Linked DNA regions of Callithrix jacchus. The main gene of each other region encodes a partner of the protein of the gene in region 2 in a complex. Links are inferred from orthologs where the notes say so. Each region holds a gene or a part of one and is shown on either strand. Other genes may lie near its edges. The genes, in order: SPSB1 and PAWR.

Region 1 (15,050 bases), on a different chromosome or scaffold from region 2:
AGCCATGGACTCCAGAGGAATGAGCCCTCCAGCTACTGCAATCTACCTTCTGTGAAAGCAGCCGTGCGGCGTGAAGGACCTGGCCATCTTTGGATCCCACTGAATAACCCACTTAGGGAGGGGTCATGGGATCCACCAAGACGGGCTACAGAAGCGGCAGTGAATGGCTGCAGTGATGCCTTATGAGCTGAAAATAGGACTAGAGTCACCCAGGCATCCTGTGAATGGGTCTATTCTCTGGGGCCTCAAGCACATAAGCAGGTCATGCCTCCTTGCTCTTGCAGGAGGAAACTGACGGCGAAGAGAGCCCCAGTCTAACTGCTTTTCAAAGACCAAGAATGCACAGCCCCCATTTCAGCTGGTTATTACCAGGACTAGGAGGTTCTCCCCAACCTCCACACTCTTGACTGGGGGCTGCCGGCTTTGCACCCAGTTCCAGCCACAAACCCAGGTGTCTGCTGAAATCCACCAAGGGGGTGGGCACCTGTCCCATGGCCTGGGGCCTCCGGCTGCTGTGCCCATCCCTGGGAAGCTTAGGCGTGCATTCATTTAAATAATTTCTATGAATGAGAGAGTGCAATGCTGAATGAGCAGCAAAGAAATCAGGAAGTCAATCAGGTGTTATTTGTGGGAGCAGAAGGCTGAGGAACTAGAAGAGACGGTACACCACCTTCGACAGTTCTGTGATAATGGCTACCTGGGGGCCGACGTGGATGCGCTCGGCCTCAGAGGCCTGACCCACGGCTATCTCGACGTTCTCTGAGAGATTTCAACCCAACTCAAGCCTGAAGAGGGTGGTGCTGTGCCCGGTTCACAGGCTGAATGAATGAGCTGCAGAGTGATGAGGTCAAGGAAAAATGTTCTGCCTGGGAGAACGCCTGGCTTCCGCAATGTCCTCACCGATGGCTGTCATGGCTCCTGTGGCTGGCCCTGAAAGAGGCTTATGGGGACCATGTTACAGGACATGGATTCTAGAATGTCACGGTGGGGGTGGCCATCATAGGATGTGTGTGTGTGTTTTCCTCTACATTAAGCAGTTCTTTTTTTTTTTTCTGAGACAGTCTCACTCTGTTGCCAGACTGGAGGGCAGTGGCACGATCTCAGCTCACTGCAACCTCCACCTCCTGGGTTCAGGCGATTCTTCTGCTTCAGCCTCCCGAGTAGCTGGGACTACAGGTGTGCGCCACCATGTCCAGCTAATTTTTGTATTTTTAGTAGAGAAGGGATTTCACCATGTTGGCCAGGATGATCTCAATCTCTTAACCTCATGATCTGCCGGCCTTGGCCTCCCAAAGTGCTGGGATTACAGGCGTGAGCTACCACGCCTGGCCATTAAGTAGTTCTTATGAAAGAGCAGAGCCAAACAAAACATGGAGCCTTTGTCCTTGTCAACTGGGGAAGGATGCCTGAGATGCATCTAGGTGATCAGAGATCCATCTAGGTGATCAGACACTCATGGTCCCCTACCCAGCACCCCCGCCGACTCTGAGAGCCTGCAGTCCTCATAGGACCAGATTTCCTGGAGGAGGTGGGGAAGAGCATCTGGAACAACCCCTTCCCAACATAGGAAGGAAGGAAGGAAGGAAGCCCCTGGTGTGGGGGGCATAAGCCTCCTGAGAACTACCTCCTCGAAGAGCCAGGCTGGAGTGGAGTGCTGGAAGGAGGCACCTGGGAGGAGGTGCGGATCTTGAGGAAAAGAGCTGACCTTCCCTGAACCTTCAACCATGACAAACCACACCAAACCCATCTGGAGCTGATAAAGAAAATTCTAAAATGCGGAATCATGGACGATGCCTCCTCAGTGGGAGACGTCTTTAAAGCAGTGGGGGGTGGGGCCAGAGGACCCATGAGGTCAGGGGCGCTCCCTGGACTGCCTGCCCACCTGCTGCTTGCAGACAGGCCTTTATGCATCTCCAGGGAGGGTGGCGGGCAGGTCTGGGGTCAGGCCAGGCCCTGTCTCCCCACTCAACAATGGCCATCTCCACTCTTGCCCCAGGAAAGACAGGGAGGGTGTCCCAGCAGCCTCTCTGGCTGCATCCTCAGCACAAGGCCTTGAGCCTCAAGCCTTGAGGAGGAATCAGAGTCCAGGGCCTGTGGCCCCAGCTGGCTAGACAGTGGAGAGGCCACACAGAGAAACATCGAGACCTCATTGTCCCTGCTTCTGCCCGACCATGGCTCTAGCCCTAGCATGGAAGCAGGGACTCTGCTGCGGGGTCTGCCTGGCATGCAGGAAAGAGGCCACGGGAACACTGGGCTGGGAGATCCCCAGGAAGGCACATGCAGGGCAACTGCCTGAGCTGCCCTACAAACAGCTGCCCTCACTGAAGTCGGACCCGTGTGTTGGGGGTGGGCACTGATGCCTCTCCAGACTTCTGGGGAGCGGAACTACCACCACCTCTAAGATAGAGACAGCAAAGCCCCAGATCAGCCTGATACCAAGAAAACATCCAGCCGGGTACCATGGCTCACGCCTGCAATCCTAGCACTTTGGGAGACAGACAGGTGGATTACTTGAGCCCAGGAGTTTGAGACCAGCCTAGGCAACATAGTAAGACCCCAATCTCTAAAAAAAAAAAAAAAAAAAAAAAAAGATGACAAATCCAGCCAGGCCTGGCCAGAACCTACACCTGACATGCTCTGCTCCCAGGAGGATCCTGGGATTTGGTCTCACCAGGATGCCCCCCTTCTTTAGGTGCCTTGGAAGGCAAAGCCAACTCTCCTGGGACAGGGGACCTGGGTGGCCTCTGACCTCACCATGGGCACCCCAGCATCGGTGGGGGTGGCGCGAGGGGACAGAGCACTGGGCTTATCTGTCACCCCCTCCCAGGTGGTGGCTCAGGGAGAGGAAGGCCTCGTGGAGATGGTCTACACTGGCTGCCTCCACATCTGGAGTGGGTTGAGCAGTGCCCCCCAATTCACATTCACCTGGAACCTCAGAGTGTGAAGCCTCATCTGGAAACAGGGCCTTCGCAGACGTACTGTTGTATGATGAGGACATACTGGATGGGGATGGCGGGGCCTGAATCCAATGGCTGGTGTTCTTGTAAGGAGAGGAGGGGGCACAGAGAGACACACACAGGTGGACCATCCTTGTTCAAACAGAGGCAGGGACTCGGGAAGGCATCTACAGACGCAGGGACGCCAAGGATTCCTGGCAGTCCCCAGGAGTGAGGGGAGGCCTGGGGTGGGCTCCGTCTCAGAGCTCGGAGGCAGCCGAGCCTGCTATCATTCTGATTGCAGACACCTGGCCTCAGCACTGCTGCTGTTTTAACGGGTCCTGCTCCTGGTCGCATGTTCAGCAGCCCTGGACACGAACACCCCGTGCATCTTCCTCCAGCCACTCCATCAGGCTCCCCCCGGCCCCTGGACTCAGACTCTCATCAGGGTCAACTGTGAATTCCTTGTTGCCAAAGCTGATGGACAGCTCTTCTCTTAGCCATCCATGTTCTTGACCTGCCGCTACTTTGCCCTTCTGAAAGCCCCTTCCTCACCTGGTATCCAGGACACCAATCTACTGGGTCCCCTCAGCCCCCACCCTCCTGGCCTCTAAGCAGGGCTCAGGCTCAGCCCTCTTCTCCTTGCTCTCTAGCCCCCACTCGCAGTGACCTCGCCAGGGTAGCAGCTCTAAAGCTGTCCATGCGTGGACAACTCCCCGACTTACGGCTTTCCCAGACTCTTAGGCTTGCAGGGCTGCTGGGATGTGTCGAAGAAGATGCTCAAATTTAACATCTGCTCCTCCCATCTCGGGAAGCCCCCGCCTTCCACCTGCTCAACCCAAACACCTGGAGTCACCTTGACATTTCCCTTTCTCGTCACATCCAATCAATGGAGGAGCCTGTTCCAGAGTCCCAGGACTGGGCCAGCCCTCTCCACATCTGCAGCTTCCATCCTGGCCCAAGCACCCATCACTTCTCACAGGACAGGCCTGGCTCCTCCCTGGCCTGGCCTCTCAGAGGCCACTCTTGCCCCTGCTGTCTATTTCTATAGAGTAGCCAGAATGATACTTCTTCTTTTTCAAGACAAGCTGGCGTGCAGCAGTACAATCTCGGCTTACTGCAACCTCCACCGCCTGGGTTCAAGCAATTCTCCTGCCTTAACCTCCCAAGTAGCTGGGATTACAGGCGTGCTCCACCACCCCTGGCTAATTTTTTCATTTTTAGTAGAGACAGGGTATCACCATGTTGTCCAGGTTGGTCTCTAACTCCTGACCTTTGTGATCCACCTGCCTCGGCTTCCCAAAGGGCTAGGATTACAGGAGTAAGTCACCATGCCTGGCTGTAGAACGACACTTCTATGACACAAGATGACACTTCTGTGTCACAAGATGCTGCCTCAATAAGGGCCTGGAGGTGTTAGGTTAATCAGGTTGAGGCTGGTGACTAACACCCATGCCCCCTACCCTGCCCCCACCCTGCAGCAGAGCTGTGACACTGCCTCACCCTTGGATTTTTTGCTCTGCGAACCACATCTATTTTCCAATCTGAATCCCCTAAAGTCAACCGTCCTTGTACCCCAGGGCCCATTCATGTCTGACCAGGATTGAGGAAGATGAGAAGCCAAGGGGCCCTGGCACTGCTGAGTATCTGATTCTGGTGGAGAGGTAAAGGGTCCTTGTCATTGACTAATAGTGCCCTGATGTGATGCTCTGAGTGGCCATCTAGCTTCCAGCTCACAGATAATGGTTCCCAAATACTGATTCCCATTCTCATATCCCCCACTCACCCAGCGCCTTTAGGATTTTCCAAACAAGGAAAATTATGAAAGCATCCAACCTCCTGTCTCATGCAGAGCTAACCAAGCAAGGCACCATCTATTCACAGGACACGCGTCTGCACTTCAGGACTGGGTGGGCAGAACCCTCTGTTCAAATAAGCCCCAGTGCCCTCCCAGCCACTCCAGGGCTCTGTACTGAAGCTAGGATACATGACCGTGAAGCTGTGCAAACCCACAGCTCATGAGAGTATCAGGGGGCTTGTTCCTGGAGGGGACAGGGCTGGAAATCTCACGGAGCCCCACGGTCCCAGTGGCTAGGCAACAATAGCAGGCCTGGCGGTGCCCTCACCTGTCTGTCTACAAAGAATGGACATTAACCTCCCTGGCTCCATGGTCACCCCTTGGCTGGGAGGAGGGGGCCAGGGCTCCCCAAGATCCTAGGTCCTGGCAGGATGTGCCCAGGGCTCCCAATCTGCACCCATCCCCGCTTGAGGCAAATTTGGCTTATTTCTATCACCCGGGGAAGACGGACACAGAACTCACTCTGCCCAGGAGTCCCATGACCTGGGGGCGCCGGGCTGTACAGGTGAGGACCAAGCAGGCCCGGGAGCCTGCACCACAGATGCCACGTGTGGCTGTCAACTCACTGCCATCAGGGTCACAGTCAGAGCAGAGGACCAGGAGGAAGAGGGGCAGTGGAGGCTTCCAAAGAGAAACATGTAAGCGTTTGCTCATGCCTGACCACCTGATACTTTCTCCAGTATCTTTCAAAGGCTGAGATGGGGGAGGAGGAACAGGAGGATCGGGAGAAGCTGCAGGTTTGGAGACTTCAAGAGAGAGATAGCATCTGTATTCCTGACCTCTGGTGGGGGCCTCCCCGGCCCCCGCCGCCTCTTGCCTGGCCTGCAGAGTGGAGTTAGAACTCAGGGTGCTGAGCCAAACCTGCCTGTTTAAGACAGTTAGCTCATGGGTGGATGGAGCTTTCCAGCCCACTCACTTCCCGAGGTGGGACCTGCAGGTGGTAAAAGGGACTCATGTAGGCAAGGGGCTTGAGAGAGGGCCACACACGCAGTGAGCTGTTCTGCAATGCCAGGCCCTCCTGCTATGGTGGGCTCCCAGCAGGGCTGCCATGGAGCCTCCACCTCCCACACCAGCATGGTGCCCCTACGCATGGGCTCATTCACACAGTCATCACTTTTGATTCAGCCTGTTTCTGATTCATGTGCTCCCTGACAACTTCATGACCAAACAAGTCCCTCGGGACTGTATCTCAAAGGAGCCCACTCAGAAGCCTCCAGCAGAAGAGAAAGACTCAGCCTGGTAATGAGTGAGAGAGGCCACTAGCATTCATTTACCCAAGAGGCCCTAGTATCCCCAAGGTTGCAAACCCCAGCTCGATCACATGCTGGCAAGTGGGCGAGAATTTGGTCAACTGAGGATCAAACCTGGAGGCAGGTCACCCAGAGAAACAAAGACTACCTACTCATTAATGTACCCATCTATCCACTTATCCATCAATTCATTAGTCTATTTGCTTATCCATCTACTCATCCATTCATTCCCTCATCTATCCATCTAGCCATCCATCCACTCATCTAGCACTCATTTATCCATCTACTCATCCATCAATCAAACACTCATCCACCCACCTATCCATCCATCCATCCATCCATCAATCTAAATACTTATCTACTCACCTATCCATCCATGTATCTATCTATCCATCAAACACTCATCCACCCACCTATCCATCCATCCATCCATCCATCCATTCCTCACTCATCCACCCACCTATCCATCCATCCATCCATCCATTCCTCACTCATCCACCCACCTATCCATCCATCTATCCATCAATCTAAACACTCATCCACCCACCCACCCATCTATCCACTCATCCAATATTCATTTATCCATCTACTTATTCATCCACTCATCCATCTGTCAATCTAAACACTCATCCATCCATCTATCCATCTATCCATCCATCAATCTAAACACTCGTCCACCCACCTATCCATCCATCCATCGATCTAAACACTCATCCACCTACCTATCCATCCATCCATCCAACACTCATCCACCCACCTATCCATTCATCCATTAGTCTAAACATTCATCCACCCACCCACCCATCCATCTACTCATCCAATATTCATGTATCCATCCACTTATTCATCCGCTCATCCATCCGTCAATCTAAACACTCATCTACCCACCCATCCATTCATCCATCCATCCATTTACTCAACCACTCATCCATCTATCAATCCAAACATACATCCATCAATTCATTATCCACTCATCTATCCATCCATCCAACCAATCGTTCATCCATCGATTCATTCATCATCCGTCATCCATCCATCTATCCGTCTGTCCCTTCATTCATGAGTCACCGTTAGGTAATCTAGCAGACTCTGGCTAGAATTCCTCACTTAACCAGATGCAGGCAAAAGTTGCCTGAGGGTCTGAATACACTGGGATATCAACTTCAAAACACGTTAGTTTCAATGACTGTATAAACTTTTGCCCTGAGCCCAGCCAGGACCACGGGGACAGAGGGAGGGCACTGCCTCTGAGAGCACAGAGTACACTTACGATCAAGTCCGTTCAAGTAGCGCATTCGGATCTCACAGTGGCCCCAGACGGCACTCACTACGGGATACAGTTTTTTGCCCTTCAGTCCCCGAAAAGCCACTCCCATGTACTGTCCATCCACAATGAAGCTCAGTGTCCCGTCGTCCATGTCCAGGGCTACCAGGAAGGAGTCAGGGACAATGAACGTCTCATCTGGTTCCAGAAAGGCCGGGTATGTTTTGCTTGGCTGGTTCTTGCCATCGTGGTAGAGCCGGTTGCGCCCCAAGTCCCAGCCCCAGGACTCGTGGTTATTCCCCACAAGCGTCGTGTACCCGACAGAGTGCAGGGGTGCATCCGCCGTCGCCACGCCCACCACAGCGTGCGTGCCCCGCTGTCTCATGGCCCACGTGATCTGCCACACGTGCAGCCCGCGGGTATACCCGACCTTGCCCCTGATAGCGTCTGTGCTCTGGGCCACCGGATGCCGGTGAAAGATGAGCTTGTCGTCCTCCTTCACGAAGACGTTGAGCGAACGGTCATTGTTGTTCCATGAATGCAGCAGCTGAACATCGTAGGACACAGGGGGCATGTCCAGTAGCAGGTCCAGCCGGGTGGGCTTGCAGTAATCCAGACCCTGGAGCTCCTGCTTCAGGGGCCGGTACGTGGGGTCCCTCATGTCCACAGTCTTGATCCCTCCAGTGACCTTCTGACCCATGTTCGCCCCTGGTTTCACCTTCTCACCGACTCCCAAGGCAAACTCATCAATCTCGCGGTCTCACCTCCAGTATTCTGATTGGGGCCAGACAGAATTCCTAAGGAGGGCTGCCAGGAGACCCCTGCAAGCTGCGGTGTTCGGTATTGCCTAATGGATAGAAAGACAAACAGCGGTGAGCAAGGCTACAGGGTGAAGGGGAGAGTTAACCTGGAGGGTGAGGCGACCACACAGGCATATCCTGGCAGTCTGTGCCTGGGCTCCGTCAGGCCTGACATGGGCAGGCTGGAGCCTTGGCATAGAATGAAATCCTCTGTTCCCTGTCTAGGCTGTCACAAAGGAAAGGGGCTGTCTGTCCACCTGGCAGACTGCATGGAGCGGTGGGCCTGGGGGCTGGGCGTCACCCTCATCTGTGTTAGGTGCAGACGCATGGCTGATGCCCACCAAATACCTCATCAGGGTCCCACAGGGCAGAAGGCCACAGTGCCACAGAACCGGGTCTCAGCCACGACACAATGGGCATTTTCGTGGTCAAAACAGAGGGAGGTAGATGGCTATTGCCTTGCTCTTCAGAGGGGAAGGGAAGCCCGGTTAGCAGCAGAGGCTGCTGAGGATGCCAATCCCAGCTCCTCTTCCCCATCTCTGGCACAGCGACCTCCAGCAGACGCACCACCAATTCACTCCAGAGAAGAGCCCTCTGGTGCAGACGAACAGCTCAATTCAGGGGTCTGTGTGCTCCTGGCAGGAAGGGCCCCGGAGCCTCCTCCGCCAGCAACATTCTTCTCAAGGGCAGGCCCGGATTCAGACAGCATGGGGGGCTCATCCCTGACCCCCAGGAGTTCTTATCTGACTGATCACCTCTTTTTCCTGCCCACGCCCTTCAACTAGAAGCCAGGGTTTCGCCCTCTGGGGCTCAACAGCACGTCTGGGGAGGAAGTCCAACACACAGACGCCTTGTTCCCTCTCTGGCTACCATCCCCTGGGTCCTTCAGGGAGGAAGAACAGAGACTCAGGTTGGGAGAGAGATCTCACTGCATCTACCCCATCCTCTCCACTGGCAGCCCAAGAAGAATTCTTTTTTTTTTTTTTGAGACAGAGTCTTGCTCTGTCACCCAGGCTGGAATTGCAGTGGCATGATCTTGGCTCACTGCAACCACCACCTCCTGGGTTCTAGTAATTCTCCTGCCTCAGCCTCCCAAGTAGCTAAGATTACAGGTACCCACCACCATGCCTGGCTAATTTTTGTATTTTCAGTAGAGACGGGGTTTAACCATGTTGGCCAGGCTGGTCTTGAGCTCCTGACCTCAAGTGATCCACTTGCCTCGGCCTCCCCAAGTGCTGGCCAGGAAGAGTTCTATCCAAGGAGGAGGAGGTGGCGGCGGAAGAGTCAAGCCTTGTTCAAGAGAGAAGTTTCTTTCTGCCATCAGGAACCCCCTTGGCCTCTGGAAGGGACCAGAGAGGCCAGGAAGAGCAGCCTGGTTTAGGGTCAGGCTCCTAGGATCAACCAGGGCAGGGGCAAGGCAGGCTCCTGGCTGAAGAAACAGAACTAAAGGAGCCTGTGGGGGTGACTGGGTGGGAGGTCATTGGAGCCTTGGCTGCCAGGAGAGTCACTCTGGGCTGCTTGTTATGAGGGTGCCCGAGGAAGGGGGACAAAGAGAACCCAAAGGAACCAGGGGTGTGGGAAGCTGCAGGCTTCCAGACACAGGGAAACCCAGGGACCTCAGAGTACTGGCCTCCCCTTCAGTGTGGGGCCAGCCAGGGCCAGGCTGTGCAGGGCTGACCTATAGCCCCCTCTCAGCTGGTAAGAGGCCCCATGAGACCCCATCTGCAGGGCAGCCAGGTGCCCAGGTGGTTTGGTCCCAGCAGAACCTTTCCACATGGGAAAATTTGGTGCCCCGACCCCCTTATCTCAGGGGCCAGGTCATGTTTTTCGACTTCCCCTTTCTGATGTCAGAGCATTCTTTTTTTTTTGAGATGGAGTTTTGCTCTTGTTGCCCAGGCTGGAGTGCAATGGTGCTGTCTCGTCTCACTGCAACTTCTGCTTCCTGGGTTCAAGCAATTCTCCTGGCTCAGCATCCCAAGTAGCTGGGATTACAGGTGCACACCACCACACCCAGCTAATTGTTTGTATTTAGTAGAGGCAGGGCTTCACCATGTTGGCCAGGCTGGTCTTGAACTTCTGACCTCAGAGCATCCTTCCACCTTGGCCTCCCCAAGTGCTGGGATTATAGGCATGAGCCACTGCACCCGGCCATAGACAAGAGGGTTCTGATCTCAGAGACATGGTCATCTCTTCAGAGACAGGGCAGGTCTCCTTGTGTCCAGTGTGTGCAAAGCCATTACAGAGCTGAGGTGCCCCTCTGCAGCCTGGAGGACCACCCTGGTTTCAGAAGGTTCTGAATACTGTGACCTCACATCCACGATCTCCCAGGAAAATCCCATTTTCAAGCTTTCATTCCCACTTCCTCTCCTGGGAGCCACTGAAACCTCTAGGACTCCCTCTATGTGGCTGCAGAGGGCACTCCGTGGCTTTGGGGCCTGCACCTCAAGCTGCAGGAGGCGGAGAGAGCTGGTCTGGTGTGGCTGGGGTGTGGCCTTCCTTGAATTCCCCTCTTCCCAACCTCCACTGGAGCATTTCTGAGCTGTAGGAAGGCCGGCCTGAGGCAGCTCTCGAGGGCAGAGCTGCATAGAGCAGGAGCGCAGAGTACCCCCGCATCTCTGTCTGGACACCCCCTCCAGCTTGGTGCCCAGGGACCTCTCCGTATTCTCAATTCTGCAGGGTCCTGTGGGCACAGAGTTCAGCACCCTGAGAGGACAGGGTAGGAGTTACATTCTAAGCGTTCACGGCACGCTTCCGGCAGCGTAGCTCCCCCACAGCCCCTCTGCTGCTCAACTGTTGCGGCTGGACAAACCTTTCTCCCAGAATCTCATCTGTCATGGAAGATCTGCCCTCTCTCCACCCGTGGGAACAGGTGGGAAGAGTGAGGAGGAGGCTGGGGGAGGAAGGGGTGGGTAGGAGGGAAAGGTGGCGGGGAGGGGTCCCCTAGCAGGGTAATTGAAAATGCTAGGAGGTCAAATCCAAGCACTGATCAGGTGAAAAAAAAGAAAGAAAATGCTAGGAGGGACCGTAACAGGGAGGTTGAGTGCGGTAGGGCAAGGGGGACACCTCAGAGCGGGAGAAAGGGTGATGTGGGAGACAGGGAGGGAAGGGAGGGGAGAGAGGGAGCTCTCAGGCTAATAAACCCAGGCCTGAACACACAGAACGCCTGTCTCAGCGAGACGGGAGATCAGCAGGCTTTTTCTGCAATGGGCGAGATAGTAAATGTCTGGCTTTGAGAGCCAGACAGTCTCTGCTGTTGTCGCACAAAAGCAGCCACAGACGGGACATAAATAAACGCACGTGGCTGAGTTCCAGAAAACTTTATTTATAAAGGACAGGCTGGCACAGGCTCCACCAGCCCGAGTTAGACCAGGCCGTCCTGCCTCGTCTCTACTTAAGACACAGCCCTGTGGGGCTGCAGCAGGCATTAGCTGGATGGCGGGAGGGAGCTCCCAGTCCTGTCCCAGAAAGAGTCACCAGAAAGGATGGCTTCACCCCAACGTGGGACATCCACTGTCTGTCTGCCAAGGTTGGCTCCACAAGCTCTCCCAGTTCTGAGATGCCAGAACCTCAGGTGGCCCAGCAAGTCCTCAACACTGATGCTGGGCTGAGCTCCCTAACCCTAACCCTAAACCTATCCCTAACCCTAACCCTAACTCTATCCCTCACTGTAACCCTAAACCTATCCATAACCCTATCCCTAACCCTAACCCTATGCCGAACCCTAACCACCACCCCTCCGCCTCCACCCACCTTCCCCTGTACCCCAGCCCAGGCCTTAGACCACAATGCTGTGAGACGTGGGAGTTGGTGGGAGGGAGGGCCTGGGAGGAGGGAGGCTGGGGACAGAGTGTGGGGTGTTTTCCCTGGGCAGAGAGGGCAGGTAAAGGAGCCTCCAGGACTGTGGGGTGACTCCCTCACAAGGGCACCCCAGGGCCTAGCCAGGGAATGTGGGCCACCCACCTGGCCACTTCTGCCATCTGAGTCACCTCCCAGGTGGTCAGTCACTGTGGTGACCCTAGGGCTACTCATGACTCATCTGTCACCCGCCCTGTGTCCAGGCTATGGTTAAAGATGACACTGCCTTCCCAACTTCCTGTTGTTCACACCTAGCCACCTCCTCGAAGTGCAAGAACACTAAAGCCATCCATCTGCCTGCCTTCCTCTATTTTAAAATGTGGCTGCACAGATCCACCCTTCCTGTGGGTCCCCAGGAGCTGGACAAGCTGCTTCCCCTGGGACTGCAGCCTGATGGGCGCTTCCCCAGCCCTGCTTCCTGGGGCTTCTGAGCTTACACACAGAGACAGCAGCTCTGGCCACGAAGATCCAGCCTGAGCTTCTTCAAGCTTCTGCTCACTCATCTGTCACACACTTACCTAAAACTCAGTGGAGACAGTGTTCCGGGGGGGCTGGCGCCACTGCCATTTCCACTTTTGTTTATTTCCCAGCCTGTGCTCCATTCATTGAACAAAGATCACTGCTCTCCTGTCTTCCTGGCCACATCTGGCCCTCTAGATGGACGCTGCCTTTGGGCCAAGACCCAAAGGCTTGAAAGGCTGGGCTAGAGCAGATCAAGTTTAAGGCTCCTTCTAAACCAGGGGTTGGCAAAGTCCCTCCATAAGTGGCCAGATAGTAACTGTTTAAGGCTCTCCAGATAATGTGTAAATGAATAGGCATGGGTATGTTTCAATAAAACTATTTATAAAAACAGATAAACTACGAGTCCTGGGCCACATGGTATTCAAACAGGAATGCCCCTGTTCGATTGGTATTAGCAAAACTGCTACTACCATCACCAAAATTCCTGAATATGGCACTCAGGATGGGGGGTGTGTACACCCACAGGTGCCAAATAACAAACATCCACAGGTGCTGGGATGGCTCCTGTGAACACCGGACCATGACAGACATCCCTGGGCCAGGAGGGTGTGCAGCACTGGGTACCACGCTTCAGGCAGGAGCTGAGAGAACAGTACAGGCCCCCTGCTCTGGGTCCACCCCACTTACTGCTGCTCTAAGAAGCAAATGCAGATAACTAGGCCTTGTGGGGTCCTGCAGTGCCACAGAAGCATTAGGGCCTGGGATTGCTGAGCAACTGGTGACTTTCCAGAAGGTGGGAGGACTCCGCCTTCATCCCCACCCAGGAGGAGCAAAGACGCAAAGAGTGTGACTTGTGCTAACCTGCAGGGCTGGAACGGGAGAGCAGAGGACAGATGTGGCCCTGCTGCCGCCACCGTCACCCACCACACGCTGTGCATGTGTGACTACAGGCACACACCCATGCATGCACACCCCCCACACACATGCACACACCCATAAACACATGCATACACCCACACAAATGCATACACCTATACCCACATGTGCGCACACACCCAAACACACTTGCTCACACCCACACACCCCACACGTGCACACCCCACATGCACACCCCCATGCATGTGCACACACCTGTACACACACACAGCCATACACACATACACACCCAAACACACCCCACACTTGCACAACCCACACATGCACATACCCACACATGTGCACACACCCATACACATACTTGCACACACCTATACACACACGCACACACCCATACATACGTGCACACTTGTGTGTCTGCACACCAAGAGCAACATCAGCAGCCGAGACTAATGAGCAGGACAGAGGCGTGACAATCCAGGCAGTGTCGTGGCTGGTGGCGCCTGCTCTCCATTCCCTTAGTGGAAGTTTTCACCCCAAAGCCCACTGTTGCATTAGTCACCAGGACTGCACCTGCCTCCTCCGCCTCACGGCTGTCTCAGCCAAACCCCACAGCAAACATGTTCCTGGCCTGTACCTCTTCTGCCCCACCAAACACTCCCTGTAAATGACAGTTCTCACTTTCACAGTCCTCAGGCTGCCGTGCAGCTGTCACACGGACAGTCCCAGGGCCTGGTGCTTCCTGAAGACCAGGCTGTTACCTTGTCACAGGTACGAATGCCATGAGGTATTTCAACCAGGAGAAAGAATGTGTGTGTATGCACATGTGTAGCTATGTGAGGCATGTATGTATCTGTGCATGTGGTGTGTATGGATGTGTATGGTGTGTCTGCATGTGTGTGTGTATGCTGTGCAGGCACGTATGTACACACGTGTCATGTGCATACATGTCTGGGTGGAGCATGTCTGCGTGTGTGTATGCATGTGTGTGTGTATGCTGTGCAGGCACGTATGTACACACGTGTCATGTGCATGCATGTCTGTGGGTGGAGCATGTCTGCGTGTGTGTCTGCATGTGTGTGTGTATGCTGTGCAGGCACGTATGTACACACGTGTCATGTGCATGCATGTCTGTGGGTGGAGCATGTCTGCGTGTGTGTCTGCACGTGTGTGTATGCTGTGCAGGCACGTATGTACACACGTGTCATGTGCATGCATGTCTGTGGGTGGAGCATGTCTGCGTGTGTGTATGCATGTGTGTGTGTATGTATGTGTGTGTGTATGCTGTGCAGGCACGTATGTACACACGTGTCATGTGCATGCATGTCTGTGGGTGGAGCATGTCTGCGTGTGTGTATGCATGTGTGTGTGTATGCTGTGCAGGCATGTATGTACACACGTGTCATGTGCATGCATGTCTGTGGGTGGAGCATGTCTGCGTGTATGCATGTGTGTGTATGCATGTGTGTGTGTATGCTGTGCAGGCACGTATGTACACACGTGTCATGGGCATGCATGTCTGGGGGTGGAGCATGTCTGCGTGTGTGTATGCATGTGTGTGTATGCATGTGTGTGTATGCTGTGCAGGCATGTATGTACACACGTGTCATGTGCATGCATGTCTGTGGGTGGAGCATGTCTGTGTGTGTGTATGCATGTGTGTGTGTATGCTGTGCAGGCACGTATGTACACACGTGTCATGTGCATGCATGTCTGTGGGTGGAGCATGTCTGCATGTGTGTATGCATG
Region 2 (15,750 bases):
CACTGCAGCCTCGAACTGCTGGGCTTAATTGATTCTCCCACCTTAGCTTCTTAATGTGCTAGGATTAGAGGTGTGAGCTACAGTGCCTGGCCCCATATAATTTATTATGAAGAACCTGAAAACAAAGTTTCAGCTGCTACAGAATTGTAATCTACAATATAAATTCTCTCCTATCTGTTCATTTCAGCAAAGTCTAACAAAATATTAATTTTCAAAATACAACTGCCCTATTTCCTCAACTACTTAAAATAAATGAGACTCTCATTGAAAAATACACTGTGACCCATAAAAATTTGTTGAATAAAATCTCCAGAAACTGTCACAGAATAAACATGTAATAGTCAACTGACATGCTAAGATTTGAACTTGCAGGAGCTGTTTCTACCTTTGAAGTGTGTGATTTTGCTGCTTTTAGAAATTAAGTATTCCTATAATTTCATTCAGCCATGGTGCCATACTTTTACACAGTCTAAGGAAAATATAACAGGTGGCTGAGGCTCAACTCTATACAAGTAGGTATATGGCTGTAACACAACTAAGATCTAAACAGAAAGTGAACTCAGCACTTATACAAATATGTTTCAGATCAACTGCCAGTCAAGGATGTCTATAGGTCTAACATATAAGATTTTTAATTAATGGGAAAAACTTTTGCACTTGACTGTAGTTTGATAAGATGTCAAAAACAATGCTTTAAAAATCTGAGTTGCTAATTATCAAATATATTTATAAACGCAATTATATGCTTTTACTTAAAGATACATAAAACTTAAAAATGAGTGAAAGTAAAGTTCTAATTATACATTTAACTATTAGAGGTGTTTCTCTCATCTAGACTTGCCTAAATTCTGGAAAAGAGGCAAGGCAGCCACAGTATTTTGCATGAAGTATGTGACATTACATAAATGTTTAAAGTACTTTGAATTTCTAAGTGCTCAATTTGTCTGTTAAAATATGTACAGTTTTTAATTGGAAGAAAAAAATGAGAAGTTTACAATCTCATAGAAAATTAATCTCTATAGTAACTACTATTTATGATTTGGGCATTTTTACAACATTTTCACAAACATCATTTTATTTAGTTCATATAACAATCCTGTTAGATAATCAGTATCTATTTCATATGACGGATCAATAAACTAGTATAAGGTATTTAAGTTAGTTCTTCTCAAACTTTAGTGTGTACAAGAATCACTCAAGTTAAAATGCAGACTCTTAGATAAAATCCCTAACCCAGACTGGGGTGGATCGCAGAAATCTTCATTTTAAATAAGTAACACAAGTGTTACAGGTAGGGGTGGACCCCCCCCGCCCGCAGACACATCTTTTAGGACACTGATTCTAGTAATATAACTAAAGTGGTAAGTGTTGGAAACTCCGTTTTTACTCTGAATCAATGTTCCCAAATGTTTAGATAACAGAGCTTTGCAGTTCTCCATGAAAGATATGTAAAAATTTAAGTAAACTGGAAGTATTACACACCATTAAATTATTAACTTTGTGCAAAAGTAATCCAATTATTAGGTTGGTACAAAATTAATCCAATTATTAAGTTGGTGCCATTACTTTCAATGGCAAAAACTACAATTATTTTTGCACCAACCTAATAAATATGTATTATACTGCAAACAAATGGTAGTAGGTGCCCAAGTTTTAAGAAATTTAAAATTGAGGAAATCCTACCATAGTTTCCAACTTCTCTGTAAAATGTGGGAAAGGCTGATATTAAATTATTTTAAGTTAATAGCTTCTCATAATGTGAACACCATATCACTTTACTGGAAAGAAAGCTAAAACTTAGGCACCACAGATTCTAGGAACATAATGAAAAATAAAGATGAAAATATAAAAGTACTTAAGAGCATACCATGTGAATATTTAAAAAAATTGAACTGTACACTTTAAAAGGGTAAATTTTACTGTATGTGAATGGTATCTCAATTTTAAATAAAGGAAAAAGGCACTGAGAAAATATCAAACCTTAATATTTGCCAATAATTTTATACTTGTAAAACATTATATCAACCTTGCTATTAAATGGCATAATTATTTAGCATTACAGTGCTAAAAAAAAATGCAGAAATAATAAATAGCATAAACAGGCTGGGCATGGTGGCTCCCGCCTGTAATCCAAGCACTTTGGGAGGCCGAGGCAGGCGGATCACTTGAGGCCCGAGGTTTGAGACTAGCCTGGCCAACATGGTGAAACCCCATCTCTACTAAAAATACAAAGATTAGCTGGGCATGGTGGTGCACACCTGTAGTCTAGCTACTTGGGAGGCTGAAGCAAGAGAATCACTTGAACTCAGGAGGTAGAGGTTGTAGTGTGCTGAGATCATACCACATGCCACTGTACTCCAGCCTGAGTGACAGAGCAAGACTCCATCTCAAAAAAAAATAGTATAAACAGGTCACTAGCTTGATGATTTTAAATAAGAATTTTAATGCCAGTGTCTATACATTCATTTGTTCTCAAAATTTTCCATTAAAATCTCACTTCATCCATCCTGCATAAATAGGGCTATTTTCAAATTCTATAGTCATATACTAACAATTTAACACTAAAATATTCTTTGTATTTCTTAAACTAGATATTCATTATGTAATACACTGAGGTGTAGCGTTAAGATGGTTTATTATACACAAGACTGTGAGTGCAGACTATCTCTCATCTACTTCTCACACATATATGACCTGAAGCAAGTAACATCCCCTGTCTGTTCCATTTTCCCATAGGGCTGTGGTGAGAACTAAATGCACTAATATACGTTAAGTGCTTAGAACAGTGCCTGGCACTTAATAAGCACAACATAAATGTCATCTACTTTAATTACGTAATTTTTATGACAAATGGCATCCCAGCTTAGACAACTCAGTACAAATCCTGATAATATTAAAATTTCAATTTACTTTACCAGTGAGCTAAAACATTTAAGAAAGCTGGGCTAATATCAGCCCAGGCTTTATACTAAGCAGACTCAGTGTTAACACTATACCTACCCCATTCACAAATCAAATTTTCTCCAACTCTGAGTCATTATTAGTTTCTCTCCTGACTCATCACACAGAAAGGTAGACAGTCTGGAGCATAATGGGAAAAACAAAAGGCAATTCTTAATCAACCTGGATTTATAAAGTTTACTAAGTGGAACTTGTCCTATATCATGTTCAATAAATATACTAAATGATTATGATCTAACCTGTGTTCACTTAAAAGTGCTTTCTATATGCTTAACGCTCCTTTATCTTCCCTTTTACTATCCCAAATTCAAACTGTGAAGTAGGTGTTATGATCCCATCTTCTTAGAAAAATACATCACTTAAGTAAAATCAAAGATCCACATTTTCTTACCACTAGACAAAAAAAAATTTACATTTTGCTGAGTGTGGTGTTCAAAATTTTGCTAATTTAAATTAGAAGGTCAGAAGCAATCTCTGAGTCCACGAATTTGACCTGAAATTCTACTCAATTCCATACCTTTACTGTTTTCCTCATTCAGGTGTTTAAATTACTTAAGATAATTTTTAGTAAAAAGTTACATAAAAAATCTAGGGAAATATGCTGAATAATAAAAGCTAGGCTAATTCTTAAAAACCTTCCTTTCCCTCGATATATACATATACACAAAATGCACAAAAACATTTAAAATATTGCTCTGTCGCTCACTTTCTATGTGATCGTGAATCATTTAAGCTCTAAGTCTCCATTTTCACCTCTAGAAATGGGGATAAACAGAATAACTATAACAACCACATGAGATTGCTGTGAGCATTAAGATAGTACATAAAGCACTTTAGCCAACCACTGAAGCTAAACCACTCTATCCAACCACTATTTTAAAACAGAAGTTTTAAATACCATATGTTAACTCTTATACTTAAATCAAAACCTCAGGGCCACCTCTCCCTGTTGAAAGATTATATTTTCTATGGCAACCATCTCCATTAACCCATTCGTACAACCCTATTTATGGCAAAAGTTTCACAAGCACCCTGAAAACAAGTATATAACCGTCTAGGAAGCTTTCTTCAACTATCCCTCCTCCTCCCTGGGTTAGGTACCCTGCTCAGACACTAAGTTATACTTACAGCTCTGCTTTTTACATTTCCTTTTATTACCTGAGAGTACCTTGTGGGCAAGGCTTATGTCCTATTCATTTCTATGCCCAGACTGCAGCCCGATAGTTCTTAACACTGACTCACATTTGAATCAAATAGTACACTTATAAAAATATTAATGGGCCCAGGAACGGTGGCTCACACCTGAAATCCCAGCACTTTGGGAGGCCGAGCTAAACGGATCATCTGCGGTAAAGAGTTTGAGACCAGCCTCACAGACATAGCGAAACCCTGTCTCTACCAAAAATACAAAAATTAGCCAGGTGTGGTGGCAAGCGCCTGTAATCCCAGCTACTTGGGAGGCCGAGGCAGGAGAATCATCTTCCACCCAGGAGGCAGAAGTTGCAGTGAGATGAGATCGCTCACGCCACTGTACTCCAACCTGGGTGACAGAACAAGACTCCATCTCAAAAATAATAATGATAATAATTAATGCCTGGGATCCACTGTAGATCCATTCAATTATTAGAGGGTGGGGTGAAGGGACAAAGAGGGTAAGAAATTAGCATGAGCAAACATTTTTTTTAAAAGATCCCAACATGATATCAATGTGCTGCTCCAGTTAAGAACCACTGTATGCTGATACTTAATATACTTACAGTTATGTATACATGCACATATGTGAGAATATATGTAAAAATATACAGGCATCGAAAAGTTTAAGACTCAGGTCAAGATTCTCAACATCAATAGCTTCTCCCAGCCCAATCATCTCCTCCCTTTAAACACACACTATTTCCAATAAATAGTTACGTGCTTCATTAAGATGGCTTTTGGCCAGGTGCGGTGGCTCACACCTGTAATCCCAGCACTTTGGGAGGCCGAGGCAGGAGGATCACAAGGTCAAGAGATCAAGACCATCCTGGCCAACACGGTGAAACCCCATTTCTACTAAAATACAAAAATTAGCTGGGCATGATGGCGTGGGCCTAAAGTCCCAGGTACTAGGGAGGCTAAGGCAGGAGAACTGCTTGAACCCAGGAGGCGGAGGTTGCAGTGAGCCGAGATCGCGCCACTGCACTCCAGCCTGGCGCCTGATGACAGAGCAAGACTCTGTCTCAAAAAAAAAAAAAAAAGATGGCTTTTAAACTGTTAACTCAGTACTTAAATTTTTTCATGTAATCATGCCTTATCCTTCTTCCTAGTTTACAGCCTTGCTCCCTGAAAATATACACTGCCATATTCTTGTTTTCTCCAGTGCTTAAGGACAGTGTCTTTAACAGGTATGTAACAAACATTTGACTGATCTGATAAACACACACAAAATTACTGGCAAGAAGTATGCCACGTCCAAATTATGCAATTCAGGTGAATTACTATCAAAAAAATTGAAAATGTAAAAATATAGAAAAAAAGGATAAAAAAAAAAACTCTTAGTAAATTTTATCTCATTAAAGAAGCTCTGGATATTTCAACTTTCCATTCATCACACACAGTAACCACCCAGTCTCCTATCTCCCAAATCGACTAGTTTCAGTTTTTGACCTGGTTCCTCACCTAAAACTATCTTCTCGTCGATTCTAGTATCTTTAGCTGCTTTCAGGTACCTTTATAACAGTATTATATAATCTATAACTAGTAAAATGAGGTAATCAAAGTCACAATAAACGTATCACACAGATGTTTCGTAAGTACTTCCTTGAAGGAGCTTCATGTTTATCAACCATTAAAACAAGATCTCTACATACGAACTACATGTTAATCTACTAATATAAAATGGCTAGGAATCATGTCTGTAAATAAGAGTTTTACTCAACATTAGATAAAATATAAGACTACTTCTGAATATAGATTGGTCGTTTGCATCCTTTTACATATTTTCATACCTGAAAACATTGCAAAATATATATGACTTTTTAAAACAGGAGTGCTAAACTAAATATTACACAAGAAACTCCACAGCAACTGGTATTCTCACTGTTGAAACTACTAGAAGAAATGGCACACAATTCTAAAAAAGCAACAATATAAAGACATGAAAATGGCTCAGCTTAAAAGTTTTGCATCATGTATTTTACCACTTTAAAATAATCTGAAATACTTAAGTTGTTTTGAAAAAAATGACAATATATGGAGGAGGCATTCAAGAAATATGTCTGTTAATTAGATACTGTGGTAAAAAATTATTATGTTTTGTTGGGTCCTACAGCTTGAAACGGATAGAGCCATAGTTACCACTAAAAGAAAGCAGTCCTCAATTCCCTATTCAATAAAAAGGTTCAAATTCCACAGACCAAAAAAAAAAAAAAAAAAAAAGGTACCCTTGGTTTGTTTGTTTTTAAGGAAGATTAAATTTAGGAGTTGCCAACACCCAAACGAAAACATTCCAGAGTATTATACTCCATTGTAGTGGGGAGTCATCTACATTCTCAGCACTATGTTCTCTTACTCAAAAGCAGGGGTATTAACAAAAGATGTTTCTTAGGATCTCACAAGATACACCCTACTTCCTTCCCTCAGTAAACATTGAAAAATACTTGAAACATTGAAAAAACTACTTGAAAAATAATATTAGCACATGCAGCCAGAAAAAAAGTGAAGTTTAACATCTGCTGAGTTATTTCCCAAAATAAGACCCCTGTCAGATGAACAATTAGGAAAAGACTGAAAAGGACAAAATCTTTTATTTGAACTATCAGCTACTTTTAAAAATAAAGTTGAGGAATGTAGCTTTCCCAAAGCTTTGTCTTCAATTTCCCCTTAATCTTCATATTTTTAACTTAAAAAAAAAATGGAAATTTGATTACCACCCTTAGAATTCCTTCTAAAGCAATTTAATGAATAACAGATCTTTTGTGCAAGGAGCAAACCACAGAGGACAGTTTTTCTGGCTGATAAAAATCTCAGAAACACTCATATAAAAATACACCCTACAAAGATACACTATGATTTTCTAGGTATGGAAATCATATTAATTCTAAAAATTTAGGTGTATTTTATATACACCCTAACTTATTGCAAATGCTTTTACTTAAACCACAACTAAAGTTAGTAAATTCTTAATAGTTATTTACCGGGTGGCAAAATTGAGTAAAATCAGAAAGCAAGGAGGAAAAAAAGTGAAAACTAAAGGGTCAATGAGAAAAAGATGCAACTATTTTAGGTGAAACAAGGTAGTTCAGCCACTTCCTCAAATCCGTGAGCTACTATTAAAGTAACCAAAACTTGTTTGAGATTGTTTTGTCTTGTTTCTGGTAGAAGGAGGTGTGATTATACACTTAGTAAAAATGTTTTACCCGTCAGTCTAACGGGAAGATGCTGCTACCTGTAGCAACATTTTGAAAATGCTCAAAAATGCAAACAACCCAAAACAAACAAAAAACCCTACCACATATGTATTTCAGATACAGTACTTAAAAAGAAGATGAGATCGTCTTAGCAAACAGAACTGTAGGTTACTAAAGGATGCCTATTGTCCTAAATATCCCTCAGAAAAAAAACCTATGTATGTGTTTAGGTGCACAACTTATAAACAGTTGATACATGAAAGAGTGCATATATTCATTTAGATATATTCATCTTAAGTTCACTGGAAGATAAAGCTGTCTTGGATAATTGCTAAGGCCACATTTTCTTTACAGGTACTATTAAACGTCGGTAGGAAAGAGATAAACTGGCAACTTCACATGGGCACGTGGGACCCTAGAAAATGTTGTCACCACCATTAATCAATTTTTCTAACTGATCAAGCATAAACAGCCAGGTCCAGGTGGGCAAGTCCTGGAGCCACAAGTTGTCTTTCCACCACGGTAAAGAAAGATACTGGATCTGAGACCTGGCCAGGAAGCCTGAAGAGGGCACATGTCCTGCTCTAAGTTTGAGGAACTTCCCAGGAAGCATTTGTGGAGAATAAAACTCCATCACCCCCGCCTGCCTAACTCGGTGAAGGGACAAGTACGAACCAGAGGAGGAAAACTCCAGGCCCCGGGGACTCCCAGGAGGAAGACAGCGGAGGCATCTGCCCGCCCCGGCCCGGCTGCGGCCCCCGCCCGACTCACCTCTGCGGCGGGGATGTTGACCACGCCGGTGGAGCGCCGCTTCTCCCGCAGTTTCCTCTTCTCGATCTGCCCTTTGCCTTTCCTGGCACTAGGGCCCGAGCTCTTGCCCTTCTCTGGGGCGCCGTCCCGCTCCTCCTCGTCACGCCGGGGCGGCAATGCAGCAGAGGAAGAGGCGGCTGGGGGCTCGTCCTCCGACCGCCGCGGGCCGGGAGCCGCCCGGGTCAGCATGGCGGAGCCGACCGCGCAGTTCACGCCCCCGGGCCCGGGGGCGGCAGGTGCGGCCGGCGCGCCGCCAGGGAGGTTGTTGTTGAGCTCGTTGGCAGCGGCGGCCGCCGAGGTGGCCAGCGCCCCCGCGGGGGGCTTCCCGGCGGCGTCGCTGCTGCCCCCTCCCGGGGCGGCGGGGCCCGGGGGGTTCTGCTTGGCGCGCATCTTCTCGCGTTTCGCCTTCCACTCCTCCAGGAAGTCTGTGGTGCTGCTGCCGAGGCCGCTGCTGGTCCGGTAGCCACCGGTCGCCATATTCCCAGCGGGGCTGGCCGGGTTCTCACCTCAGGCCGCCCACCAGGGCTCCCGCCGCTGCCGCCTCTTCCTTCCTCCGTCCGCGAGGATGCCAGGGAACGACCTCCAGGAGCTTGGCGGCCGCCGCTCCCCCAGCAGCCAGCTGGTCTGAGGGGAAAGACAAAAGGGGGCGGGTAGGGGAAGCGTAAGGTCCCCGCCCGACCCGAGGGTCTGCCCCCAGGCTGCGCCCTTCGGAGCCCTCGAGCGTGCCAACTAGTCCCTACCGGCGAGAAGCCGCCGGGTCCCCACCCTGCAAAGTTTCTCCCACGCACCTACAATGAGGGCCCCGACGATCGCCGCCCCTCGAAGGGAGGAGAGAGGACTGACCCCACCCCCAAGTTGGCCAGCCCGCCCCGTCCCCACCGGGGTCCGTGCTGGAGGCGGTGGAGGTACTAGGGCCAGACCCGCCACCTGTCGGCCCGTCGTATCGCCTGCTCCGCGCTCTGGCCACTGCGGGTCCGAGGTCCCCGCCAGCGACACCCCACACCCAGGGCGAGGCGCGGAGCTCCTAGCCGGCTCGCGGAGGAGGCGGGGACCCCGCTGTCCCACCGAGCGGGGAAGGGGACGGGTGTGAGCAAGCGGCCGGGCAGCCCCTTACCTCGGAGGAGCTTGTAGGGGAAGAGGCGTGGGGCTGGGATCTGGCGCCCAGGTGAGCCGAAGCTGGCGCACTCGTCCGCCGCGCCCAAAGAACCGCAGCAAACTCGCGCTGCGGAGCTCCAAGCAGTCCCAGGACAAGAGGGAGGGAAACGAGAGAGGTAGGGAGGGAGCGAGGGGCGGGAAGGGAGCCGAGCGGCGCCGAAGCACGAACGGAAAGGGCCGAGGCGGCGCACGAGGGGCGCGGCGCGCGGTGGGTAGGGTCGTGGCCGCTGACGCCCCGCCCCCGGCGCTCAGGTGCGCGGCGCCGCGTCCCGCCCGCCGCTGCCGCCTGCTTCGAGCCTGCCGTCCTCCGCTCCGCACCCGCCGCCGGCCACACTGCACCCGCCGCCGACCGCACCGCGCCCGCCGCGCTCCGCCCGCGGCTGGCGGGTTGGACCGCACATTCCTGGGCTAGCAGCCTCGCGGCGTCCGGCCTCCCGGCGCCTGCGACTCCGGGGCGGGAACAACACTCCACGCCCTTCTCCTCGCTTGTCTTCTCCGCCTCTCTCTTCTCCCACCACTCTTCCTTTTAAGTACAAGACCGTATTATTTTAGAGAAAGTCTCGAACGCTGCTGGCTAAGGGGAAAAGTGCGATAACTTGTGATGATTCAGGGAATGACTAGACAGGATGGGAAAATACCCACGTGTCCCTTTCCCTAGTCGCTGCTCCCTTTTCAGATGTACTTTGGGCAGCGTGCAGGAGAATAGAAAGAACGGAAACAAACCCACCACCCTCCTTCTAAGAAAACTGGTGTCCTGGTGAAAAGGGTTGGCTAAGAGGAAGGAGTTACTAATAGACTTGTGGGAGAAAAAAGTTCGACAGTTTATTGTATTGGCGATCCCAGTCTTGGAGTTTTCCTCTTAACCCTGTCTCTCCCATCTCCTCTTTACAGAGTGAATTTAGCAGCAAAGCTGCCTACCAAAGTACTAACGCTGCACTGATGCTAATTTGAGATGAGCTGGGCAATGATTGCCTCTATTTTTTTATTGTTAACATGCCAGAGGCTTATCCTCAGATGCAAGTCATCTAAAATTTCTGGATCAGAGGTGGTGGGTGGGCTGCCACTGACGCACCTGAGAAGTCTGACCTTTCTATATCCAAGTAATGTCAGGGCACATAATTGTGGGCGGCGACAAATGCCAGATCTCCATTTTGTAAAAAAAAAAAAAAAGTAGGAGAGCCCTAAGTCACATTCTTACCCAACATAAACCATTCTTCCTACTTAATATTCCTGTTTTGCCCAGGAGCACATGGTGAGTGAGCAATCAGTGTTTGCCTGCCACAGAACTGGGAACAGAAGAAAGTGATTCACATGCTGTGTATTTCTTAGGGAAAGACAATTCTGGTCTTTGGTCTGGAACATATGGAGAGAGGTGCGGAAAAAGCCTTAGAAAATTAAAGGCTTTTCTTGGGAATAGGACTAAAAGGGTAAGCAGCTGTTTACCTAGCTGGTACCAACCGCAGTGTGCCACCTGAAATTTATCAGTTACATAGTCATTATTTTGTTTTCTGAGTTTTACAGAAAGGAAGGAAGGGTGGGACATTAAATGTATTCACATTAATATGCTTTGTAACTTAACAAAGGACTTTCTCTTAGAAGGGCTGCAGGATATAGTGGAGAGAGGGTATAGTCAGCCTGGATACAAACCTATGTTAAGTAGATGAGAAGTCTTGGGCATGTTTAAATTATCTGGCACTCAGCTTTCTGTACTATAAAATCAGCAAAAATCACATTATTTTTCAGCTGTCTTAACAACTGACACTGCACATAAAGTGTGCTTGATTTGAGGAAGGCACTCAGTAAACCTAGTCACTTGTAGGGACTTACAGTCCTTGGTCTCTAAAAAGTATATGGGAGAAGAGCAAAGTAAAATAGGTGGGGTACTGAATATACAATATCAACCTAAAAAACAATAGACTTTGAATGAACTGGGATAACACACCACATAAATTTATCACTGCATGGGTTAGACCAGTTCTGTTGGTATCAATAGGTTCTGAGTCATGAATTTTGAATGCTACCGACTTGTGTGGCTTTGGGCAAGTTGCTTAACTTTTGTGCCTCTGTTTACTTATGTATAAAATGGGGATAATAATACTTCCTACATTGTGAGAGTGTTGTGAAAGTGCCTGCAGTCCTCAGATAAAAGGTAGTATGTGACTACCAGAGTAGTTATTATTAGTCTATAAAGTTCTTTAGGAACCGTGGATGAAAGAGATTATTGAGGTACAAAGCTCTGTGTTTTATTATTATTATCATTTATTATACCTTTTGTCTTTACCATTCTCAATATTCCCGAAGGTATATTTCACAGCCAGACTGCTTCCAACATTGCCCCAATGTATTTAGCTGAGTCAGTCCTAAATTGCAAGATGTTTGCATATCATCAGTCTTTATGTATAGCGTTCTGATGAAATAATCCTCAAAGACTTGGAGCTTGGTTTCTCAACCTCAGCACTATTGACATTTGGGGCTGGATAATTCTTTGTTGTCCTGTTTAGCAGCATCCTGGGCTTCTGCCTGTTAGATACCAATAAGAACCCCCGACCGGTATTGTGACATTGCCAAATGTTCCCTGGGATAAAATTCTTCCCCCATTGAACACCTCTGAATTAGCCTAAAATAACCAGTTTTTAGCTATGCACTTGCCCTTAATAATAAAAAGAAATATGATAATGCCAACAAAACATTCATTTTAATATGTCAGAGTGAAACCTATTCTGTATGTTAAAGTCTTAATGCTTTGAGGCATGGTATTATTGATATGTATGGATAGCTGGTATATTGGGGAGTAGCCATTTTGCCTTAAATGCAGATATTTCCAGAGCATATGTAATTCATCCTCTAACATCAAAATATTACATGTGCATAGTATAAAAAATTACATTTTTTAGTTCTACAAGGAATACAACAAAAAACAGCAATCCCCTCTCTACCTTACTCACTCTGAAAACCTTACCCAAAACTTTAAACTTTTTAAACTTTTTAGAGATCTTCATATTTTTATGTGTATATCTGCTATTGTATGTCTTGATTTTTCCATTTTTAGATATCTCATAGAAGAGGATTTAGCTCTGATATACTAATGACACAAATACTTTTCATACTCCTACACTCCAACTATATTTATATTATGATTTTTATTGAATAAACCTTCAATGTTTTTAGTATTATGACTACAAATACTGTTCACAGCTGAGTCATGTGGTGTACTATGATTGCATTTTTTACAACTGTTTTTCCTTGTTGCACAACTATACCTTTTGTTTTAACCATTTTTCTGCAGTTTAATCTTGCCTCTTTTTTATCATCTTTTTTCTTATATACTAGTCCCGAGTTTATACCCAAATTTCCTTCTTTCAATGAAGTTAATCACACTGAGTAAGCTATTAGTTCTGTTCTATCTTATTCTCTCTTTTTTCGGGGAGAGCAGGGAGAAACTTCTCTTCTGGAGCCCTCCATCCCCTGCTTTAATCTGATTGTTGATTTTTTTTTTCTTTTGGAGATGGAGTCTTACTCTGTCACCCTGGCTGGAGTGCAGTGACACGATCTTGGCTCACTGCAGCCTCCCCCTCCAGGGTTCAAATAATTCTCCTGCCTCAGCCTCCCAAGTAGCTGGGACTACAGGCGCACACTGCAACACCATCTAATTTTCTGTATTTTAGTAGAGACAGGGTTTCACTGTGTTGCCCAGGCTGGTTTCAAACTCCTGAGCTCAGGCAATCTGCCAGTTTCGGCCTCCCAAAGTGCTGAGATTACAGGCATGAGCCATTGCACCTGGCTTAATCTGGATTGATTTTAAGGCTTGTTGCTTTGTGGTCATCCTGGGATTATGCTTCTCTAACATCTTGCGAATCATTTTCTCTGCAGACTTCTTGTTTCCTTAATTCCATACTTTTCTCTTGTTTGTTTCTCCCTTTCATTTTAGTGAAGTATATCGGTATATTCTAAAGATAGTATAATTCATTCTTAGAGACCTCGCATATTGGAAAATAGGTTAAATTCATCTTCACACTTGATTAATAGTTTGGTGAAACATAGGACTCTAGGTTTAAAATTATTGTCCTTCATAATTTTTAAGGCATTGCTTTATTATATTCTAGTTTCCAGAGTTGCTGTTTAGAAGACCAATGAATGGCATTCTGATTGCATTGTATCTTTTGTCTCAAAATTTTTGGATTTTCTTACCCAGATCCTCTGAAATATCTTGAAGATATGCTCTGATTGGGTCTTTTATCATTATTATGTTAGGCATTCAGTGGACTCTTTTAATTAGGTATCTGCCTTCCAGTTGGGAAATTTTCTTATTCTCTTTCTTTGATAAGACATTCCTTTTACTTTCTCCATTCCCACCTTCTGGAACTCCTGTTAAGTAGATATTGGACTGCTAGAAGTTCTCTAACAAATTTTTTTATCTTTTCTCTTTTTTCATTTCTTTGGCATGTTATTCTACTTTCAGTGAAATTTCCTTCACTTTATATGACAGTTTTTCTATAGAATTTTCTGTTTCTGACACTGTTTATTTCTAATCTGTTTCTTATTCTCTAAATATTTTTTTCTCTAGCATCTTGTTCTTGACACATATTGAGCATTTTTTTCTCCCTAAGCAAATTGCCTACTTTTTAAAATTTGTTTTAATCTTCATCTTTCATGTTAGAGCACTTCATCAGTCTGCTGTTTATTCGTATTTAAGACTGAAGAACTGAAAAGCTCACTGCACTCACTCAAAGCTCTTCTGTGAAAGGGAAGAGCTTGTTGACTGATGGGCCTCATTTAGGGAGCCGGTGTTTGACCCCAGGGATTTTTCTGGAGGCGTGCGTCAAATGCAGCATCTGTGGAGCTTCGCTTTTGGCTCAATAATTTTCCTTGAGTAAAACTGTATTTCTGCTTGTGTTGTCAGTTGCCAATGTTTTCAGATGTCAAGTAGGGAAAGGAGACTGGCAGCGTCTCGTTACTCAATATGCAGATTTTCACATAATCCCTATACTTAGTATATCTGACATACCCAGTTTCAGGGCTTTTGTAATTCAACATCTGTACAACGTGAACTTCCAGTCCTCTGCCAGGATCAGGAGAGATAGCTTCCTTGCTACTGAACCCTGCAGAGAGGATCTGATAATTTGTTTATTGTGTAGGTTTTCAACTAATCTTTCTGTTTTCACCCCCATCCTTCACTGTTTCAGAGGTATATGCTGCTGCCTCCAATTTCTGAATCTTTTTCAGGGCTCTGCAAGACAAAAAAAGATTACTTCTTACTGGCTTTGTCTCCTGTAGGTTGGAATTTACCTTTCTCTGCTTTGCTAAAGTCTGCATTTTTTCTCCCTAAGCAAATCTTTCATCTTCCAAAATTTTGTTCTTACTGCTCATCCTCTTTGTTGTTACTGGTTTATCATTTTACTTTGGTTTTAGTGAAGTTACTTGAGGAAGTAAAGATAAACATGTGTGTTCAACCTATTATATTTAATAGGAAGTCCAATTCATCCATTTTGCAGATTTCCAGTTACTTTGCAATCTATTCCATAACTCCAGATCAGCAGAGACTTCTACATCTTATTTCTGTCTTTAGTGAGTTACATCATAAGCCCATATTGATGTACACTGTAAGAAAGAGCTCTAAAAATTGGTTTTATTTTCCACAGGTTGTTTTTGAAGGTGTTTTTGAAGGCCCATTATATTACATAATGTTTCTGTTATTAAAAACCTAGACAAAAATTCTGATATCCATATTAAAAATAGATGTAGTTCTCTTTTGCAACTGTTTTATAACCATTTAGTAAAACTATTTTTGTATAGCTAGTGAATATTCTATTTTCAATTGCCTATAGGTAATCTTAGACCAGATTTTTGGCCTATCCAGGGAAGACCTAGATTTTATGGTCCCTGAAGCTTACATAATTTGGTGGACTTTCTATAAGAAAAAGAATGCATAAGAAAATAAATATTTAGAATAAGTGAGAAATTATTTTAAATAATGAATTTTAACAAATTGACAAATGCCACAAATATCACAAAAATCCAGAAAAAAACCCTATTCATTTACTCTCTGACACATTTCTATGCCATTTTGTATGCATTTTATTATTGATATTATTTATTGATTCATAAAGTACATGTCTTTACATGCAGCTATATCCACTATTTGTAGTACAAGTATATAGGTTTATGTCTTACAAACACAAGAACTCTGATAAATTTTACATCAAAAAAATTCTACTTCAAAAAAGAAAATGATGTATTGGCCATTCATAATTTTATCTCTAGCATTGTATCATGTATTTCTGATAGGAAAGCATATAAAATGCCAATGAAAACTTAATTCTTTGCTTATTTTACATGTCTTATGATTGGAAGAATTTCCCACAGACTGGCTTTAGTGCCATCAGACTATACTACTCTCCACAAAGAGCAACTCATTGTTCCTGTCATCAACGTACCTCCA

Evidence for each region.
Region 1: the proteins of PAWR (region 2) and SPSB1 are in contact, whole or in part, in a crystal structure (PDB 2JK9), measured with the Homo sapiens proteins. The link is inferred for Callithrix jacchus from reciprocal best matches to the Homo sapiens genes PAWR and SPSB1. Residues at the interface, in NP_001341661.1 of Homo sapiens: Glu68, Leu69, Asn70, Asn71, Asn72, Leu73, Pro74; in NP_079382.2 of Homo sapiens: Arg77, His78, Pro79, Val80, Ala81, Gln82, Gly110, Thr111, Tyr129, Val216, Trp217, Gly218.

Annotation. Positions count from the first base shown.
Region 1 is NC_133508.1:47,212,906-47,227,955, reverse strand, and holds part of SPSB1 (SPRY domain-containing SOCS box protein 1), read right to left. Parts: intron 8,156-15,050; 5' UTR 8,009-8,155; coding exon 7,315-8,008; intron 1-7,314. UniProt on the Homo sapiens protein: Substrate recognition component of a SCF-like ECS (Elongin BC-CUL2/5-SOCS-box protein) E3 ubiquitin-protein ligase complex which mediates the ubiquitination and subsequent proteasomal degradation of target proteins.
Region 2 is NC_133510.1:82,371,786-82,387,535, forward strand, and holds the start of PAWR (PRKC apoptosis WT1 regulator protein), read right to left. Parts: upstream 9,401-15,750; 5' UTR 9,271-9,400; intron 8,971-9,270; exon of another isoform or gene 8,945-8,970; intron 8,781-8,944; 5' UTR 8,634-8,780; coding exon 8,118-8,633; intron 1-8,117. UniProt on the Homo sapiens protein: Pro-apoptotic protein capable of selectively inducing apoptosis in cancer cells, sensitizing the cells to diverse apoptotic stimuli and causing regression of tumors in animal models.